Linked DNA regions of Caenorhabditis elegans. The protein of the gene in region 3 purifies or fractionates together with the protein of the main gene of each other region. This does not show direct contact. Each region holds a gene or a part of one and is shown on either strand. Other genes may lie near its edges.

Region 1 (3,389 bases), on a different chromosome or scaffold from region 3:
GAAACACCCATACTTGCTGATCGGCTGAAGAGTTCTTCGAATAGATCCATCCTTGTCCTGCTTGCATTGAGTCCTCTTTAGCTGTAAATTGAAAATTCAAAAACCTTTATTTTCCACTTTAAATTACTTCAGTGAGCATCAGTTTGGTATGCATTCTGAACTCATTATGAACATCTTCTTCTACTGCAAACGGTAGTTTCACCACTACATGTTCGAATGAGTTTTGCTCCTCATAGCTCCACCAATTCACATTTTCATTTGGAGCATCGGAAACCGCAGTAAACTGATTTCCCGGGGGAAATTTGAACGGTTGAGATCCAAAGTTGACTGAGAGGCTTGAGTTTTGACATAAGACCGCCGGGAAGAGACACGTGTTCGAGTTTTTGTATTTCACATCGATGGAAAAAGCGGCGGGAAATTGTTCTCCATTTTTTGACCACCAGATGGTACGGGAATCCAGGTCAAGATAGCAACCGATCACATCGTTCAGAGTGAATGGGAGACCATAATCATCGAACTTTTTGTGGGTTGACTTCATTCCAGTCCCACCATAACCGAAACTATCCAGTCCTTTACCTGGAACATTTTAATTGGAATAAAGAATAATTTTGCACAATGCAAAAAAGTATTACCAATATTCAAACTTCCACCGAGAGTAGCCCAGCCAACTCTGCACAGTCCTTTACTTGTAATTGTAACTTCATAGTAATACTTTCCATTTCCATATAATCCGGCTGTTCCACGTGCTCCGAGCCATCTTTTCTTCACTTCACTTTTGCAGGCTAATCCAGTTTCATCAATTTCGAGATGAAGATCTTGATCCTGCTTGTTCAGTTTGGATTCACGTGGACTTGTGTCGGCCTGAAAAATAATATGTAGCATTAAACAGCACACCGGAATTTTTTGTTGAATATATTTATTTTAACTAATAGTGAGATTTAAAAATGCTAAAATTAGCGGAATATTAGAAGAGAAACTTTTAAAAAACTATAAATTTATTTTCTGATTCTAAAAATATTTAAAACTTACCATTTTTCAATGACCAGGCACGGAAGAGTTGAAATTTTAATTACGAAAATTAAAAAAAAATTATCTCGCGAAAAATGCACAACGATGCTCCATCGTTACGCGGCGCGTGTTGTTTAGCCGATAGAAAATGGAGGGAATTTCAAATAAATTTTTTGATGAAAAAATTATTTTCATACCACAAAAAATATTAAAACATCAGATTTAACAGAAAGTTCAGTTACACATTTTTTGAAAAGTTCGAAACTGAAATCGTTTGATCCTCCGCAATTGATGCGAATGTCTATGAATTGAACTGTTGGGCAACAAATCATAAACTGAAAAAACCATGTTGTAGTGAGAGTGTGTGTAGTCCAATTCAATATTCAAACCGGATTTTAGAACCAATCGTTTTTGTGTCAAATGTGCCTTGCCACTAATCACCACTACGTGTCGTCACAATTCGATTCGTATAAATAGTCGACAGGTTGTAGTAATTTCAATTCAATTCACTTCCAACTTTCAAAATGTGCAAACTTTTCGTCGCCGTTGCCCTTCTCGCTGTCGTTTATGCTCATCAAATGCCATCAGGTAGAAGTTTTTCATTTCAACGTTCTTCTTAAAACCCTTATAATTTTAAGCTGATGAGATGAAGGCCAAGCTCGTTGAGGGTGGAGTCTCCGAGGCTGCTGCCGCTGGACTCGTTGAAATCGGAGATAAGTACAAGAGCCAATTCCAGGCTCTCACCAAGGGAGATCATGAAGCTGGAAAGAAAGTTTTCGATAGCATGAAGTCCGAGTCTGATGCCTACATCGCCACCCAATCTGAAGCTGATCAGACCGCTTACAAAGCATTCGTTGAGAAGGCCAAGGAGCACTTCCAAGCTCACAAGGAAGCTGCTGCTGCCGAAAGTGCTTAAATATCAATTTTTTTGAATATGGAACCATTTTTTATTTGAAAATAAAACTTTAATTTCGCGAATCATTCCATATGTGCTTCATCCAGACATAAGACTACAGTAACGGGTGAAATATCGAGAACAACCCAATCTTTTTCCCTTGTTTTAAAAACCTACCTACCTACCTATCTACCTACCTACTTACTCTATCTATCTATGTAAACGTATTAAATAATAATAATAGTAATAATAATGATACTAAGCTATTCCATGTTCCTAATTTTGCTAATAGCTCAGACTTAAAACGATAAATAGCTGGAATAATAGTTACAGAAGCGAAAATAATATCAAGTTTCAACCTGGTATTTATTAACACAGGGTGGGCGTCATTGCAGGCACCAACAGGTCTACAAGTTACCTTCAGGTCAATAATAACTGGACTTGAAATAGATGTATCATTACCGTGTTATGCTCCGGCCCGAATAAACGTTTTTTCACGGTTTGTCAAAATGTACTTCTCCTTCGCGGCGATCAGGGTTTGTCTTTTAGGCATGTAGGTAGGCATGCTTTTCTTATGGCAGGTTCTAATTTTTACAAGAGACTTGTCAACATTTCAAACAGAAAATTCGATTCATTCAATACAAAAAGTCAAGGGAAAATGTATATATGTGCATTTCGAGCAACAACATCAGAAAATATTTAGTGAGCTGGAGTAGAGTGGTGTCCCTCGAATTCCTTCTTCTTAGACTCGATATAGGTGGCATAAGCTTTCTGATCAGCTTCTGGTTGAGTCTTGATGTAGGCATCCGTGTCAGTCTTGATCTCCTCGAAAACCTTCTTTATTGCTTCCTTATCGTCCTTGTTATCCTTGAGAGCTTCGAGTTGAGTCTTGTACTTCTCGGCAACCTCGACGATTCCTGCGGCAGAAGTCTCCGAGAGCCCAGCGGCGACAAGTTGAGCTTTCACCTCCTCGGCTGAAAATCAGATTCAGAGTTTTTCAAAGTTCAAAATATAAAAATTTCCTACCACTTGGTGGTACTGGTGGAGCAGCATAGATGGCAACAGCGAGAAGTGCAACGGCGACGAAGAGTTTGCACATTTTCTGAACAAATATTAATTTTTTATTTTGATGAGATACAGAAAGAAGATGCTTGCGAAAAGAACATATGAAACCAAACTTAAAAAATGATGATGTTATTTTCAGAGCTATCAGCACGGTTTTTATACATCCAAATTGAGATCGGTTCTAGGCGGAGACACATAACTGGTTTGTAATTTGTTACGCTTTCGAATTGAAAAAATATCCGTGCCTGTGGTTCTCTACGGCAATTATCTAGAGGGGAATAGTTCGAAAACAGGGAAAACGGTTAGATATTTTGATGTCTATCGGGTTATGGCACAACGTTTATCTCGAAGTGTTTTCGGAAAGTGTGAATCACGAGAATGACGTTTTATAGTATTCAATCAACATGAAAATTTTAATAAT
Region 2 (5,711 bases), on a different chromosome or scaffold from region 3:
CCTTCGATGCTGAAGCGGCCTTCGGTGGTGCAGTTGCTCTCGGTGGAACGGCTGTTCTGGTAGCAGGAGCTGCACTTCGTGTAGTCGTCGGACAAGCTGGGCCTGTTGGAGCACGAGAAGTCAACGCTCTGGGGGCACTGACTGCAGGGATTGCTGGACGAGTTCTTGCGGCGCCGGTTGTAGATGCAGATCTAGTAGATGGTTTTCCGGCAACAGGTCGTGGAACGGCAGGAGCAGGAATATCCAACAACGCATCCTTCGACTTCACGGTGGGCGCGTTGAGGAATGGAAGTGATTTCGCTGCCTTGTCGAGCGATTGTTGGATCCTCGCAAGTGAGCTCGTCCCCGAAATAAGCACTCTGACCGCCGATTGATCCGTCATCGCAGGCCTCCAGAGCAGGACGGCGATGGTTCCATTCTCAGCGGCCGCCTTCTCCACTTCTGCCTCGTTTCCTCCTGCCAACGCCTTTGTGATCACTTCGGAGTCTTTGACGTCTCCAGCCAGAATATACATGGAGAGAACTCCTTTTGCAGCTGACTGGTATATGATGTGTGCCGGATATTTCGGGCTGAACAGTGGCGGTGCAACGGAGAGAAGCTTCGAGTTCGCTTCTTGAATTGCTTTGGCAATCTCTCCACTGCTTCCCGGCTTGGCAGTCTTGAACGGCTTCGTGTTGGTGAACACCGGCAACGGTTTTCCCTGAAAAAAGTAGATTATCAAAATTTTCATTAAAGTTTCTACAAACCTGTTCCAACAGAGCAGACGTGGTTCCGAGGTTACCAAGCGTCGGCGCGGCGAGCAGCACGGCAGAGACGTCCCTGACGTGAGCCACGAATCCTGGGCTTTTTTCGGCGAATCCCCCATCGAGAATGTAGACGCCGTCAAAATCAAACAAGGTGGCTGTGTTGGCCGCACCGCCCAAGACGTAGACGCATGCCTTCGACGACATGATGTATTCTTCCGGCATCTGGAAAGAAGGAGTAATTTTCAACAGTTTTAAGCACGTATACGTAGAAAATGAAAGAGAACGCTGAAAGATTGAATTATGGCGAATTTTATGCCAAAATAATTACAAAAACCCTAATTTCGGAGTTTTTCGCGCTTTTCTGTAGACTTAAGTTCATTTTTCAACCATATTAGCGACTAAAAATGTTCAAAAACTAATCAAAAATGTGAAATAAACGACAAAATTATAGGGAAAATGCAAAAGCTTCTTGGCTGCTGACAAAATTGCAGATTTTTTAGGATTTACAAAAAAAAGGTTTCAGTGGGCGGTGCCAATTCGCAACCACCGCACGCTCATTTCGCAAGCCTCGCACGTTTTTTCAGTGATCTTTTTAAATACCTTTTTTAAAGAAAAACGCGCGAGAATAAACAAATAAACAAATAAACAAAAACGAGACAGAAAAACACGAATGAGCTCTCTCGCCGCCTTATATAGCGCGGTGAGAGACGCAGAGAATGCAGGGAAATCAGAATACGACCGCTGCCGCCGTGGATCAAGATCACTAGTGATATCAGTCTCCTCTTTGTTTGATCTACCAGTAGAAGTGCAGAGCGCCTGCGATGGGTGGATTTTTTTCATTTTCAACTTTTTCAATGTCGCTGAATCAATACGTCATTTCTATTGGAAGCTAGTCTTTTTGGTTATTTTTTAGATTAAGTTTGAGTCTTGCGGTGCTCGAAAAACTCAAAATCTTTTTAAATCCACTGGTATATATATATTGGGAGAATTGAACTCTGTGCATTTTTCCGTCACTGTGTTCGCGTACTTTTAAGTTTTTATGGCGGCAGCGGCGCCATGTTCAGATGTTTTTTTATATGTTTTGTGATCTTTTCATCATTTTCTTGAAGAATTTGCAGATTTTTTTTCATTTTCAGTGAATTTTTCTTAATAAAAACTTTTTTTTTCCATTTAGATTGGATTTCTCCGCATTTTCTTCGGCGAAACAAGAGATTCTCTGTTTTTATTGCATTCTAAAAACGTTAAGCCAACAATCAATATTTTGTCGTGTTTCTTGTTTTCCATCTCCTTGTTTTTAGAGTTTTAAAGTAGGAAACGTGTTAAATAAGTGCAGTTTTTTGTGTCTATCTATTTTCCAAATGAACATTTCTGTAATTAGAGAGAAGCTGCCACACACAGCGTTATGAATAATTATTTTCTTATCTTTGCGCCGTGTATTATCACTTTTTGAATTGTTTTCCACCGGAGAATCGTTTATTTAATTTTGATCATTATTTTCAGTACGATGACCATCACTGCTCCACCAAAAGACGAGATTATCTCAAAGTTTCCGGGCTCTGAGCCACTTCTCAACTTTTACAATGAGCTCTCGGATGCCGAAAAATCGAAGCTTTTCCACCAAATTTCAACTCTAAACCTTTCGGAAGCTCATCAATGGTTCATTGATTCAGCGGATCAACGGGCTCCATCAACTGCGGAAGACCTTAAGCCGGTTCTTGATTCTCAGCATTTTGTACAAGCTGAATTGCATCAAGTGGTAGAGACTTTTAATATTTAGGTAAAACCATCATTAAAATTACATTATTTTCAGATCCTCGATGGTCTCTGGAACAAGGGAATGGATGCTATTGGACGTGGAGAAGTATGTGCAATTGTGCTCGCCGGTGGACAAGCTACACGTCTTGGATCAAGTCAACCGAAAGGAACGATTCCATTGGGAATTAACGCTTCATTTGGAGATTCTCTTTTGGGAATTCAAGCTGCCAAAATTGCACTTCTTCAGGCTCTCGCTGGAGAACGGGAGCATCAGAATCCGGGAAAAATTCACTGGGCAGTTATGACGTCACCTGGAACAGAGGAGGCTACTCGTGAGCATGTGAAGAAACTGGCGGCTCATCATGGATTCGATTTCGATGAACAAATTACTATTTTCTCACAAGATGAAATTGCTGCATACGATGAGCAGGGAAACTTCCTTCTCGGAACTAAAGGATCTGTTGTTGCTGCTCCAAGTATGAGTTTTTACGCAATTCGTGTACTCCTCGAGGAAAACTGTTTTTACGAATTTTTCAGCTATAATTCTGACTTTTTGATTATTTTTTAATCTTCAAAACGAAAAATTATATGACATTTAAAGTATTTTCGGTGTCAATATTGAAAGCAGTATTAATTGCATGGATTTTCACCCAAAACACACTAAAAATATAAATTAGTTGACGATTTGAATTTAAAAAATATCTAAAATTAAGTATTTTATCCGAATACTTAAAAATTTCGTACAAAAAAATAATTATTCTTTCTCGGGGAGTACACCAGCTGCGTAAATCGACACAAAAATTTTAAAAAATGAGTTTTTCAACGAAAAAAAAATCGAATTTTCAATATTTTAAAGATAATGTGTTCTCATCAAACTCAACTTTTTTTAGAACATAAAATCTAGACTTTTTTCTGGATTTCAAAAAAAGAAAATTATCGATTTTCTCACAAAAAACCGAAAAATCATATTTTTTTTCAGACGGCAACGGAGGTCTCTACTCTGCCATCTCTGCTCATTTGCCACGTCTTCGCGCGAAAGGAATCAAATATTTCCATGTGTATTGTGTGGACAACATTCTGTGCAAAGTTGCCGACCCTCATTTCATCGGATTCGCCATTTCAAACGAAGCTGACGTTGCAACCAAGTGTGTTCCGAAGCAAAAAGGAGAACTCGTCGGATCAGTTTGTCTTGATAGAGGACTACCACGTGTCGTTGAATATTCGGAGCTTGGAGCCGAGTTGGCTGAACAAAAGACACCGGATGGAAAATATTTGTTTGGTGCAGGATCTATTGCAAATCACTTTTTCACGATGGATTTCATGGATAGGTTTGTAATTTCAAATTTGGAGAAAAAGCTTAATTTTAAAATAAATACAGAGTCTGCTCTCCATCATCTCGTCTTCCATATCATCGTGCTCACAAGAAGATTTCCTATGTGAATGAGCAGGGAACCATTGTCAAACCGGAAAAACCAAATGGTATCAAGCTGGAGCAGTTTATTTTCGACGTCTTCGAGCTCTCGAAGCGATTTTTCATTTGGGAGGTGGCGAGGAACGAAGAGTTTTCTCCATTGAAAAATGCTCAATCTGTTGGAACTGATTGTTTGAGCACTTGTCAGAGAGATTTGTCCAGTGAGTAGATTTTTCTGTGAATTCAGAATTAAAATTGATTTAAAAACTGATTTTCAGATGTGAACAAGTTGTGGCTGGAACGTGTTCAAGCGAAAGTGACTGCAACTGAAAAGCCGATCTACTTGAAGACAATTGTCTCCTACAACGGAGAGAATCTTCAAGAACTCCGTCATCGTGAAATTTCTGATAGTGCCTTGGAATCCGATCATTCGATTAACAAATTCTTTGTTGTCTAGTCTTCTTTTGTTTCATATTTATACTGATTGCCCTACTCATTCCCCTATCATTTCCCAGCCAACTGTGTTTTATTTATGTTAAAATCCCCGTGATGCTTTCAAATTTCCTTCGGTATTTTCCCCAAAAACCGTAGTTATTAGGCCGATATTATTGCTTGACATCCATTTGTTTTAAATTTCTTAAATTTTCGTAAACTGAAACGAGTTCGAATACAGATTTTGTAAATACTAAAAATGTTAGAATGAGTTGGTACAATTTTATAAATTTAAAAATGACAATTTATTAAAAAAAAAAGTTATCCTTGGAAATGTGCCTTCTGTTGGGAGGATGTATTTAGTCATTAATTTCCTGAAAAGAGCAATAATTTAAACAAGCAAATAACAAAAATTAAAAAAAAAAAACTTACCTAATAGGCCTGCCACGCGGGACTTGTTAGCACCGGATCCAATTCGAAGGCAATCTTCCTCTTCTTGTGCATCTGAGCCACCGTGGCTGTCGAAGATGTCGCAGTAGAAGCTGCTATCCGAACATTCTCCAGACTCTGTAGATCCACCGAAACCACTTTGGATGATGGCTTCTCTGTCGTTCTTCGCCTTTGTTCCCATTTAAGCTCACGCTCTAATATCTCGAATTTCTCCTTCAAAGTCCACTCGGGAGCATCAAAGGGACTTAGCACCGGTTTCCAAAAGTTTCCTGATTCGAATAGAAGAAGAATATTCAAAAACTATTCAGTAGTAATTAAATATAAATAATTAATAAAATCAAAGTGAGAGAGCCTGTACACAAAAGCTCGATGAAAAGTATGAATGAATAATTGTGGGGTACGGAGGACAGTGTTAAACTAGAGATTAGAGACACAGACTGTTTTATATAAACAAAAAAGTATTGGTCACATTGTTACATTGTTTGAAAGAACATTTGAACGAGATTCTGAGCGTTTTTAAATTTTTGCAGCTAAAAATACGGTACCCGGTTTCGACGCGACAATCATTTGTTAAATGCTAAAAGATGTGCGCCTTTAAGGAGTACTGTACTATCAAACTTTTGTTTTTGCTGGATGTTCATCGTCTTTTAATACTTTTCCGATAAAAGTATATTTATTTAAATTAAAACATTCCAATAACCCTTTAAACAACCTTGCAAAATCGATGAAAATTGCCCAGAAACGAAAACTTGAAATTACAGTACTCTTTAAAGGCGCACATATTTTCGCATTTAACAAAAATTTGTCGTGTCGAGACCGAGTACCGGAAGTTTGGCTAAAGCTCGTTGCGAAGTATTGCGATTTAGACACAAATATGCTAACGGGTCTCGGAACGGGCAAAACTTTGCAGTTACAGT
Region 3 (3,933 bases):
GCTACTTCGAATATAAATTTGAAAAACTTAATTGAAGAAATTTAAAAAATGTTATGTTTCCAGGGATGTGAACGCGTTTCCGAATATCAAATTCCACAAGAAAAAATCGGAGAGGTCTATGACATGACTTATGTTACCCTTGATATTATTGTTCATGGAGAGAAGACCATCTGCAACTAATTATGATTTTTTTGTTTCAACTCATATAATTGTATGTACATAAATTCGTATTTTACCCTAAAACGTTTTGAACTATTTCTGGTTTTTGTTTTTAATTGATTCGGAGTACAACCCCCTGCCAACTGACGAAAGAGAAACTTCGGGATTCCGGAATGATTGGGCAGTGGAGTGGAGTGGAAAAAATATGTTCAGGAAGGTTGAAAAATACGTCGAGAGAAGGTTACGTAAGAAGTCAAAAGAAAGAAACAATTGAAGAGTGACAAATAGAACGAGGACAAAAAAATAATTTTCTTGTCGAAAAGAAGTATAACTTTTAAATTTGGTCTATTTTGATACCTTCCACAGAAAGAGTAAATTCAGAAAATAAATATATATAATAAAAGTTAAAAATTTCCAGAATCGTTTTGTGTGACATCGGCAACTACCGCAGCTTTCCAGATTTCAAGTTTTTCTGAAGATTCTAGTTACGCAGATCTGACATTTTAAAATTGTTGTTCTTTCAGCATTGGAATAAAAAATGCTCAACTTATAAAAGGTAAACCTATACAGTTAGAAAATGATATAGTGCTGGCTGCACACCAAGCTGTAACACGATCGTGTATATGTTCTTCTGGATATCTGACTTGTTTTTCGTTGATGTTTCAATTTTTGTGAATCATCGTTCTTTGTTACTCGAAGTCCGGGAAATCTGGGCATTGCAGTAGAAAGTGGAAAAAATACTATATTAAAAAACATAGGTCAGTACTTAATTGAACCCCTCGAGAAATAAAACAAAATTCATTAAAAATAAGTTTGAACTGTTTATGAATTTATATATAATTTAAAACCTCATTTTAATGTTCAGAAAGCTGAATTAGAACTTCGAAACTATGAAATCATGAAACAGTGCTAAACGAAGAAACCCTCCAGTTTTTGTTGTGATGTTTAAAATTTTATATATTGTCTGACGCATTCACATTTCAAACATAAAATTCTGAGATTCAATTAGAGGGATCAATCACCAACTGGCAATAACATCAGAGACTGATCTCAAACTTTAGTGTTCGAAGGATTATCAGAAACTCAAATTGCTCTTTGTGAACATTGATTTCAATATCGATTATGTTTTTGAAAATTGTTTTGCATGCATCTAATCTTGTAAACATATCAATAATCAAGTGTACAAAATGATCATTACAGCTTTGTTTGTTTGTTTGAAAGACTGGAAGCGGATATCACTACATCCCACGTAACATCACAAAAACTATTAGCCTGAAAACGAAAAAAAATTCCAGTTGAAATATAGAAATCAATCCAATCTGAATGTATTGTCAATAATAAATATTGTGAATCAAACGGAAACGTAATATAAAAGGTACAGCGTGAGCCTGTAATATGACAGCTGAAACTGTACCGATTTTCGATAAGGTATTTCGCAGACGCACGCCTCCCCTCCTATAGCCCGGAAAACGCCTCCGATAAATATGATTTTAGATAAAATTAGAAAAAAAATTAGGGTTAACATGTAGGCGCCAAACGCATGCCTGACATTAAGGCGACGGGCCTCCCTCACGCCTCAACTCGCGCTTTCTGCCAAAATGCAGAAAACCCTGATACCACACCCTTCTCCCATGGAACTCCTATGTGGATCTGATTATCAGAAAAGAAAACTTCCGTATGTGCACAAGATATTCTGAATCCAATTCCTCCCCCGTATAAAAAATGAGTCATAATTATATTTTGAAATCTTGATTTTGTTTTTCAAGCTTGCCAACCCATTATCTAATCCCTGATTACTTGTTGTTGTTTCTGATTCAAGTTCTCATGTTGTCTCATGGCTGGCTGTTGGACACGCCAATTGGCTCTCGTTTCTTTGATTCTATTGGTTGATTGAAGGGGGGACAACACCTGACGTTAATCTCCAAATCTCAATATAAATAGTGAGCCCCAACACGACGCCAGTCACCTCAACAACTTATTGTTGAAAATGCGCTCGCTCGTCGTGTGTCTCTTGCTCGCCGCTTGTGCTCTTGAATGCACAGCCCGTCTTCAGAATGTTACTGTTAAGGGAGTTGCCGTGTGCAATAAGAAGAGATTGGCAAATGTTGAAGTTCAACTCTATGAGAAGGACACCCGTAAGTTCATTGATAGAACTTTTCTATAAATGTATTTGTATTTTTCAGTTGACCCAGATGATCTTTTGGACACCAAGAAAACTGATGCTGAAGGAGAATTCAGCGTTTACGGAGAAGAAGATGAGACTCATGCTATTGCCCCATACCTTTTGATTACCCATAGCTGCAACCCATCTAAGCCAGTAAGTCAAAATAAATAATGGAATATATTTATTAAAATAATTCCAGAACTGTGTCCGCATCGGAAGGTACTTGGTGCCAGAGGACAAGATCGGAGGAACCTACGACATGACCTACGTCACCCTCGACATCAAGGTTCACGGAGAGAAGGAAAAATGCCAGTAAAAAGTGCAAACTTCCTGGATTTTATTGACTATCTAAATATATATTTTTTCTATATGATTTTTCTCAATTTTCCATTAATAAAAACATGAAATAAATGTTTAGTTTTTTCAACGAGGACCTGAAGAGACTAGGGATCAAAGGAAATTACAAAAACGATGCAAATATTGTACCCGTTGGAAATCGAGGAGTTGAACTGGCAAAATTATACAAATTGTCACAGGAACTGAGAGGGAGAGTGAGAGAACTATAGAACATTTGGGTGGGATATAATAGGGTGCCAAATGCAATCTATAAAACATGTAGAACGATATGAAAATAGAGGAAAAAAGAGAAAGCGAAAAAATTTGAAGAGACCAGAGATGTTTGAGCAGTGGTAAATCACAATTATAGCACAGAGAAGTTGATGAAAAAAGAAAAAGATAAGACAAAATAAGGAAACAAATTATAATTTCATGTGTGTCGAATCATTGGTTCACATGTTGCTGGTGATCCTTGTTCTCCAGAACTTCGAGACGGGGATCGAAAATTCTGAAACTTTCAAATGAGTAATCATTTTATTATTCAGAGGTTAGATTTTGCGATTTTTGCACAAATAATACGATACCAGGTTGAACTGCGTCTTTTAAGATTACTGTAATCATTTTCCAAAAAATAAACAAATGGATGTAACCCGAAAAATGTATTGTATTATAATCAATGAAAATTTCGTAGCAACGAGGGGTTGCAAAAGACAGTAATCTTTAAAGGCGCAATTCCGCTTGCAGTTAAAGGCGGAGTACAGTCATTTTTAAAAATGTGATCTAAATGAAAAAGGACCGTAATAAACAGATATAACTGCTAAAAAAGTAATGAAAAAACATTTGAGGGATAATTATTTTTGAATTTGCGACTAACCTGGATTCGACATTTTCACTTTTATGAATAAATTCGTTGGTTTTTCTCAATTTTTTTTTTCAATATTTGATTTGAATTACTGTTTCTCAATTTTTCAGACAATTCTCCGCGCAAAAAATATTAATTTAAGTTAAATTATCGATATTTTTGCCAAACTAGTAATTTCAACGAATTTCTTTCGGGGGTTATTTCAAGTTTACGGGAAATTGTCTGAAAAATTGACAAACGGTGTTTACATCAAATATTGAAAAATTAGAAAATATTTTCCAGAAATCATTCCATCATTTGCGCGGTAATTCAAAAATAATTAGCCTTTTTTTAGTTTTTGCAAAATCCAAAAAATCATTAAAGATTTAAAAAACTTTCGTAAAGTTTTTTAACAGTTATATCTGTTCATTGA
Region 4 (4,254 bases), on a different chromosome or scaffold from region 3:
AATTATAAACACAACATAAAACTGAGCTCTTCACATTATTAATCACAGATGTTTATTTTTTCTGTCCTTTTAAATAAACAATTGTCCCTTTAGACTTGCTCTGCCATTTTCAAAAATTGCATGATCTCACAAAAAAAAACGAATGAACAGATGGAGGTCAAACATCGAAAGTGGACATAGAACAGATTAGCCAAGGTACAAAGTAGATGGGTCTATTGTAGCCCAATAAAACGTGAGAATCGTATTGGCCAATTTACGGGAAAGGCCATCTGGAAAACAATGATCTCTAATATGAATTCTGTCATCTGGGAATAGGGCTCAAACATTTGAAAACCAGAAAAAAAAACAATTTTGTGTCTTAAAAATTTTAGCTAGTGTTGAAAGTTTAAAAATATTTTTGAAAAATTGTGTTTTATGGGATCCTTACAATATTTTTTCGTTTTCATTTTGAAACCAAAAAAACCCAAAACCGAATGTACCGAAATTCTGCGGCAAAAAAACTTTTTTTCTGAAGTCGTTTTCTTTTTCTGTGGGTCGAATTCTATATGAATAAAAATTTTCATAATTTTTTCCGGTAGTTTTTTTTGGTTTTCCAAAGTCCCAGCCCTGCATGGATTGTGTTTTGAACTGCAGACCTGAAGACCTGTTGCCGTATTCAATGTTTGCTGAAGAAATGGAGAATCATACTATAGACTATGAAAGATAATGATAACATAAAATTATATCAACCAAATAAGGAAATTGCAATTCGATTCGCCTTAAACCTTCAACGAAATTATTTTGAGTTGATTGTTCGGTCTTCCAGGACCCGATTCATGCAACTACTCTCTTCAAAAATATCCGAACTGACCCCAACACACGGAACAAAAAAAATCTGCCCCGAATCATTTATGCTACACTCTCTTTCGATACCCATCCGAGTCCAGCCGTCCATCTCTGCTAATCGTCAGCGCAATCGACATGTGGGCTGCACTTCTTGCCGTACAATGTTGTTTACGACTGTGCAAGTAGGCGGGGTCCACGCAGACGACGTCGACACACAGCCCACAGTCCTGCCAAGACGTCAGTCGTTCATTCATCGACCTAGCCAACCATGTGCGCTAAAATCGCTCTTCTCCTGGTTCTTGTTGGAGCTGCTTCAGCTGCTGTTCTCCCTGATAAGTTCTATGGAACTTTTGACTTGGACCATTCCGAAAATTTTGATGAGTATCTCACTGCTAAAGGATACGGATGGTTCACTCGTAAACTTGTCACTTTTGCCACATTCAAAAAGGTGTTCACTAAGACTTCCAACAAGAACCTCTTTGACTACTCCAACTTGACATCAAAGAAAGACGTCCATTACAAGAATGTCCAACTTGGAAAAGCCTTCCAGGGAGAAGGACTTGACAGCACCAAACACGAGGTACGCTTTTGCAAGTTTTCAAGTAACCTTTCAAATTGATTAATTAATTAATTTTCAGATCACTTTCACCCTCAAGGACGGACATTTGTTTGAGCATCACAAGCCACTCGAGGGAGGAGACGCCAAGGAAGAGACCTACGAGTACCTTTTCGATAAGGAATTCCTTCTTGTGGTAAGTTATAAACATTTTTTAAAAACCAATTTCACATTCTCATGATTGTAATTTTCAGCGCATGAGTTTCAATGGAGTTGAGGGACGCCGATTCTACAAACGACTCCCATAAATATTCAGAAACTATTGTAATTTTTGTATGAATTGATTTCTCAATGTACTTTTTTTGCCACTGATGTATTTCAAGTTTCAAATAAACTGAAAAGTTAGATCGATTCTGTAATGTGATATGGGGCAAAAAATAAGAAAAATAACGCGGTTCTTTTGTGATTCATGCTGCATAGCCCTCTGAAGTTTTTTGTTTGGGAAATGTTTTCACTGGTTTAAAAATGTACATATTAGGAGTTCTAGAAAGCAAAGTTGATTAAAATTTGAATTTTTGTTAACGTGTAAAAGTGACACAAGTGTTAAAAAGAAAATTTTGCACATTGAAGACTTGAAATTAAGAATCAAATTATCAGATGAATTGAACCTATGCTGGAATCAAAACATGAAAGTTCGATTGCGCCGTGATATTTGCAAAAACGTAATTCAAAACACAAAAAGGACACAACCAGTTTAAAATTTCGGGTGGGTCAAAATCCAATCACTTTTCGGTTTTTTTTTTTCGATGTTGTGTTCGAAAGTTTTCTATAAAATGGAGTTTTTTCTACTCTTTCGTATGCTCTTTTTTATTTTTTTTTTCCTGATTTTCACATTTAATTTCTGAATAAGGTACCATTAAATAAGAACCATTTCTCAAAATACATAGTTTAATAACTAAAATCATTGGATCTTGAGGACCTCATTAAAAATATTTTTTTAAGTCTTAAATTGTTTGATGTGCAGTCAAAAAACGTAGCAGTTTTCTTTTCAATTTTCTTAACGCGTTTAAATTTATTTCGACAAAATTCATTCTGCATTTCAACAAGTAATCGATGAATTGTTTTCGTTCGGTCTCTTAAATTTTGTTTATTATTAGCTTCCAGGTGTTGTGAGGATTTTTGAAAATCAAGTAAGTCCGATCATCAATTTGTTGTTGCCATCCGTGCCGTGACCCTATATTACACACGTGGCTGACCTCAGTTTTATTGTGTTGTCGATTGAGCAACTGGGCGGAGTCTTGATCAATCTTCATTTCTGTGGACACTTCAGTCATTCAGTCATTGACTTGAACAAAAATGTCTTCGAAATTCCTCATCTTACTCGCATTTTGTGGAGCTACCCTTGTGGCTGCCGAACAGCTTCCAGAAAAGTTCTATGGAACCTTCGACTTGGATCACTCTGAAAATTTTGATGAGTACCTCACTGCCAAAGGATACGGATGGTTCACTCGAAAGCTTGTAACCTTTGCGACATTCAAGAAGGTTTTTGCCAAGAATGCTAACAAAAACCTCTTCGACTACTCCAACTTGACATCGAAAAAAGATGTGTTCTACAAAAACGTCCAGATCGGAAGCAAGTTCGAAGGAGAGGGTCTTGATAACACCAAGCACGAGGTGAGTTCCATGCCATGTACTTTTTATTTTATTTTTATTTCAATTATAATTTTCAGGTTACCTTCACTCTCAAGGACGGACACTTGTTCGAACATCACAAGCCACTTGAAGAGGGAGAATCCAAGGAAGAAACCTATGAGTATTACTTTGATGGAGATTTTCTTATTCAGGTAAAATTTGGTCAATCTATTTGACATACATTTTTGTTAATTACAGAAGATGAGCTTCAACAATATCGAAGGCCGCAGATTCTACAAGAGACTCCCATAAAAGTTTAAACTTATTCTATTGAAATTTTCTTAAATTTGCAATTCAATTTCATTTCCGAAAAAAATAAATTTATTTTCAAGCAATCTTCTGATGTTTTCAATTTGGAATCTTGGTGGAATGTATTATCCCAATTATTAGTTTTTAATTTTCTACAGATTAAAAAATGAACATGTTGAGGTAAGAAACTTAACACTAGAGTATGATCTCGCTGCCAAATTCTGCAACAACCATTATTTAAACTACAGTTGTCGTTTTCTTTATGTGATTTCATCTAAACGTTGAGTAGCACCAGTGGGAAATTGGCAAAAAACTACGCCTATGGTGCCAAAAGGACCAAATATCAATAATTTTGGAAAATTGTTCATTTACTGTTGAAAAGTGACTCCGTTATTGCCACTCATAATTTTGAAAGTGGACCAAAAAAATTTTCTACTATTTTTACACATTAATTTTGTTTCAATTATTTATGCAGAGATAAAGATCACTTAGCACCTATATTCTACATGTTCTATCATACAAAAAAAAGTGCCATTAATGTGCTAAAAATGTGCTGAAAATGTGCTAAAAATGTGCTAAAAATGTGCTAAAAATGTGCTAAAAATGTGCTTGAAATGTGCTAAAAATGTGCTAGAAATGTGCTTGAAATGTGCTAAAAATGTGCTAAAAATGTGCTAAAAATGTAATTTTAAAAAAAACTTTCGTACAAGCTATTATACTTGATTGGCATTTTTTGGTATTTTTGACTATGCTAAACAGTTTTCTGAAATAAAAAAGAATGACTCCATATGACTTTCCAGGACTTTTGAATTTTTGAAAAAAACCAGCTTTTATATATTTTTATCATTAAAAAAAAAAAACTTCCGTACAAGCTAATATACTTTGATTAGCATATTCTGGTATTTTTGACTATGCTAAACAGTTTTATGAAA

The links.
Region 1: the proteins of ttr-16 (region 3) and spig-1 fractionate together in Caenorhabditis elegans (co-fractionation; one large-scale study listed by BioGRID). This does not show direct contact.
Region 2: the proteins of ttr-16 (region 3) and C36A4.4 fractionate together in Caenorhabditis elegans (co-fractionation; one large-scale study listed by BioGRID). This does not show direct contact.
Region 4: the proteins of ttr-16 (region 3) and lbp-2 fractionate together in Caenorhabditis elegans (co-fractionation; one large-scale study listed by BioGRID). This does not show direct contact.

Annotation. Positions count from the first base shown.
Region 1 is NC_003283.11:7,050,196-7,053,584, forward strand, and holds spig-1 (DUF4473 domain-containing protein), read left to right. Parts: upstream 1-1,519; 5' UTR 1,520-1,532; coding exon 1,533-1,596; intron 1,597-1,646; coding exon 1,647-1,924; 3' UTR 1,925-1,984; downstream 1,985-3,389. Other genes in the region: tofu-2 (Schlafen-like protein 2), read right to left, coding at 14-81, 128-576, 633-861, 1,030-1,032; txt-17 (transcellular chaperone signaling (x)cross tissue), read right to left, coding at 2,603-2,877, 2,930-3,002.
Region 2 is NC_003281.10:3,840,150-3,845,860, reverse strand, and holds C36A4.4 (putative UDP-N-acetylglucosamine pyrophosphorylase), read left to right. Parts: upstream 1-2,246; 5' UTR 2,247-2,250; coding exon 2,251-2,502; intron 2,503-2,556; coding exon 2,557-2,977; intron 2,978-3,480; coding exon 3,481-3,829; intron 3,830-3,879; coding exon 3,880-4,133; intron 4,134-4,190; coding exon 4,191-4,369; 3' UTR 4,370-4,615; downstream 4,616-5,711. Other genes in the region: maph-1.3 (Microtubule-associated protein futsch), read right to left, coding at 1-700, 747-968; C36A4.11 (uncharacterized protein), read right to left, coding at 4,711-4,718, 4,777-4,975.
Region 3 is NC_003282.8:11,062,328-11,066,260, reverse strand, and holds ttr-16 (Transthyretin-like protein 16), read left to right. Parts: upstream 1-2,123; 5' UTR 2,124-2,146; coding exon 2,147-2,294; intron 2,295-2,342; coding exon 2,343-2,476; intron 2,477-2,492; exon of another isoform or gene 2,493-2,522; coding exon 2,523-2,639; 3' UTR 2,640-2,731; downstream 2,732-3,933. Other genes in the region: ttr-17 (Transthyretin-like family protein), read left to right, coding at 64-180; Protein lin-3, read right to left, coding at 3,090-3,167.
Region 4 is NC_003284.9:3,258,065-3,262,318, forward strand, and holds lbp-2 (Fatty acid-binding protein homolog 2), read left to right. Parts: upstream 1-2,545; 5' UTR 2,546-2,737; coding exon 2,738-3,055; intron 3,056-3,111; coding exon 3,112-3,225; intron 3,226-3,271; coding exon 3,272-3,325; 3' UTR 3,326-3,406; downstream 3,407-4,254. Other genes in the region: lbp-1 (Fatty acid-binding protein homolog 1), read left to right, coding at 1,094-1,405, 1,464-1,577, 1,636-1,689. UniProt on the Caenorhabditis elegans protein: May play a role in sequestering potentially toxic fatty acids and their peroxidation products, or it may be involved in the maintenance of the impermeable lipid layer of the eggshell.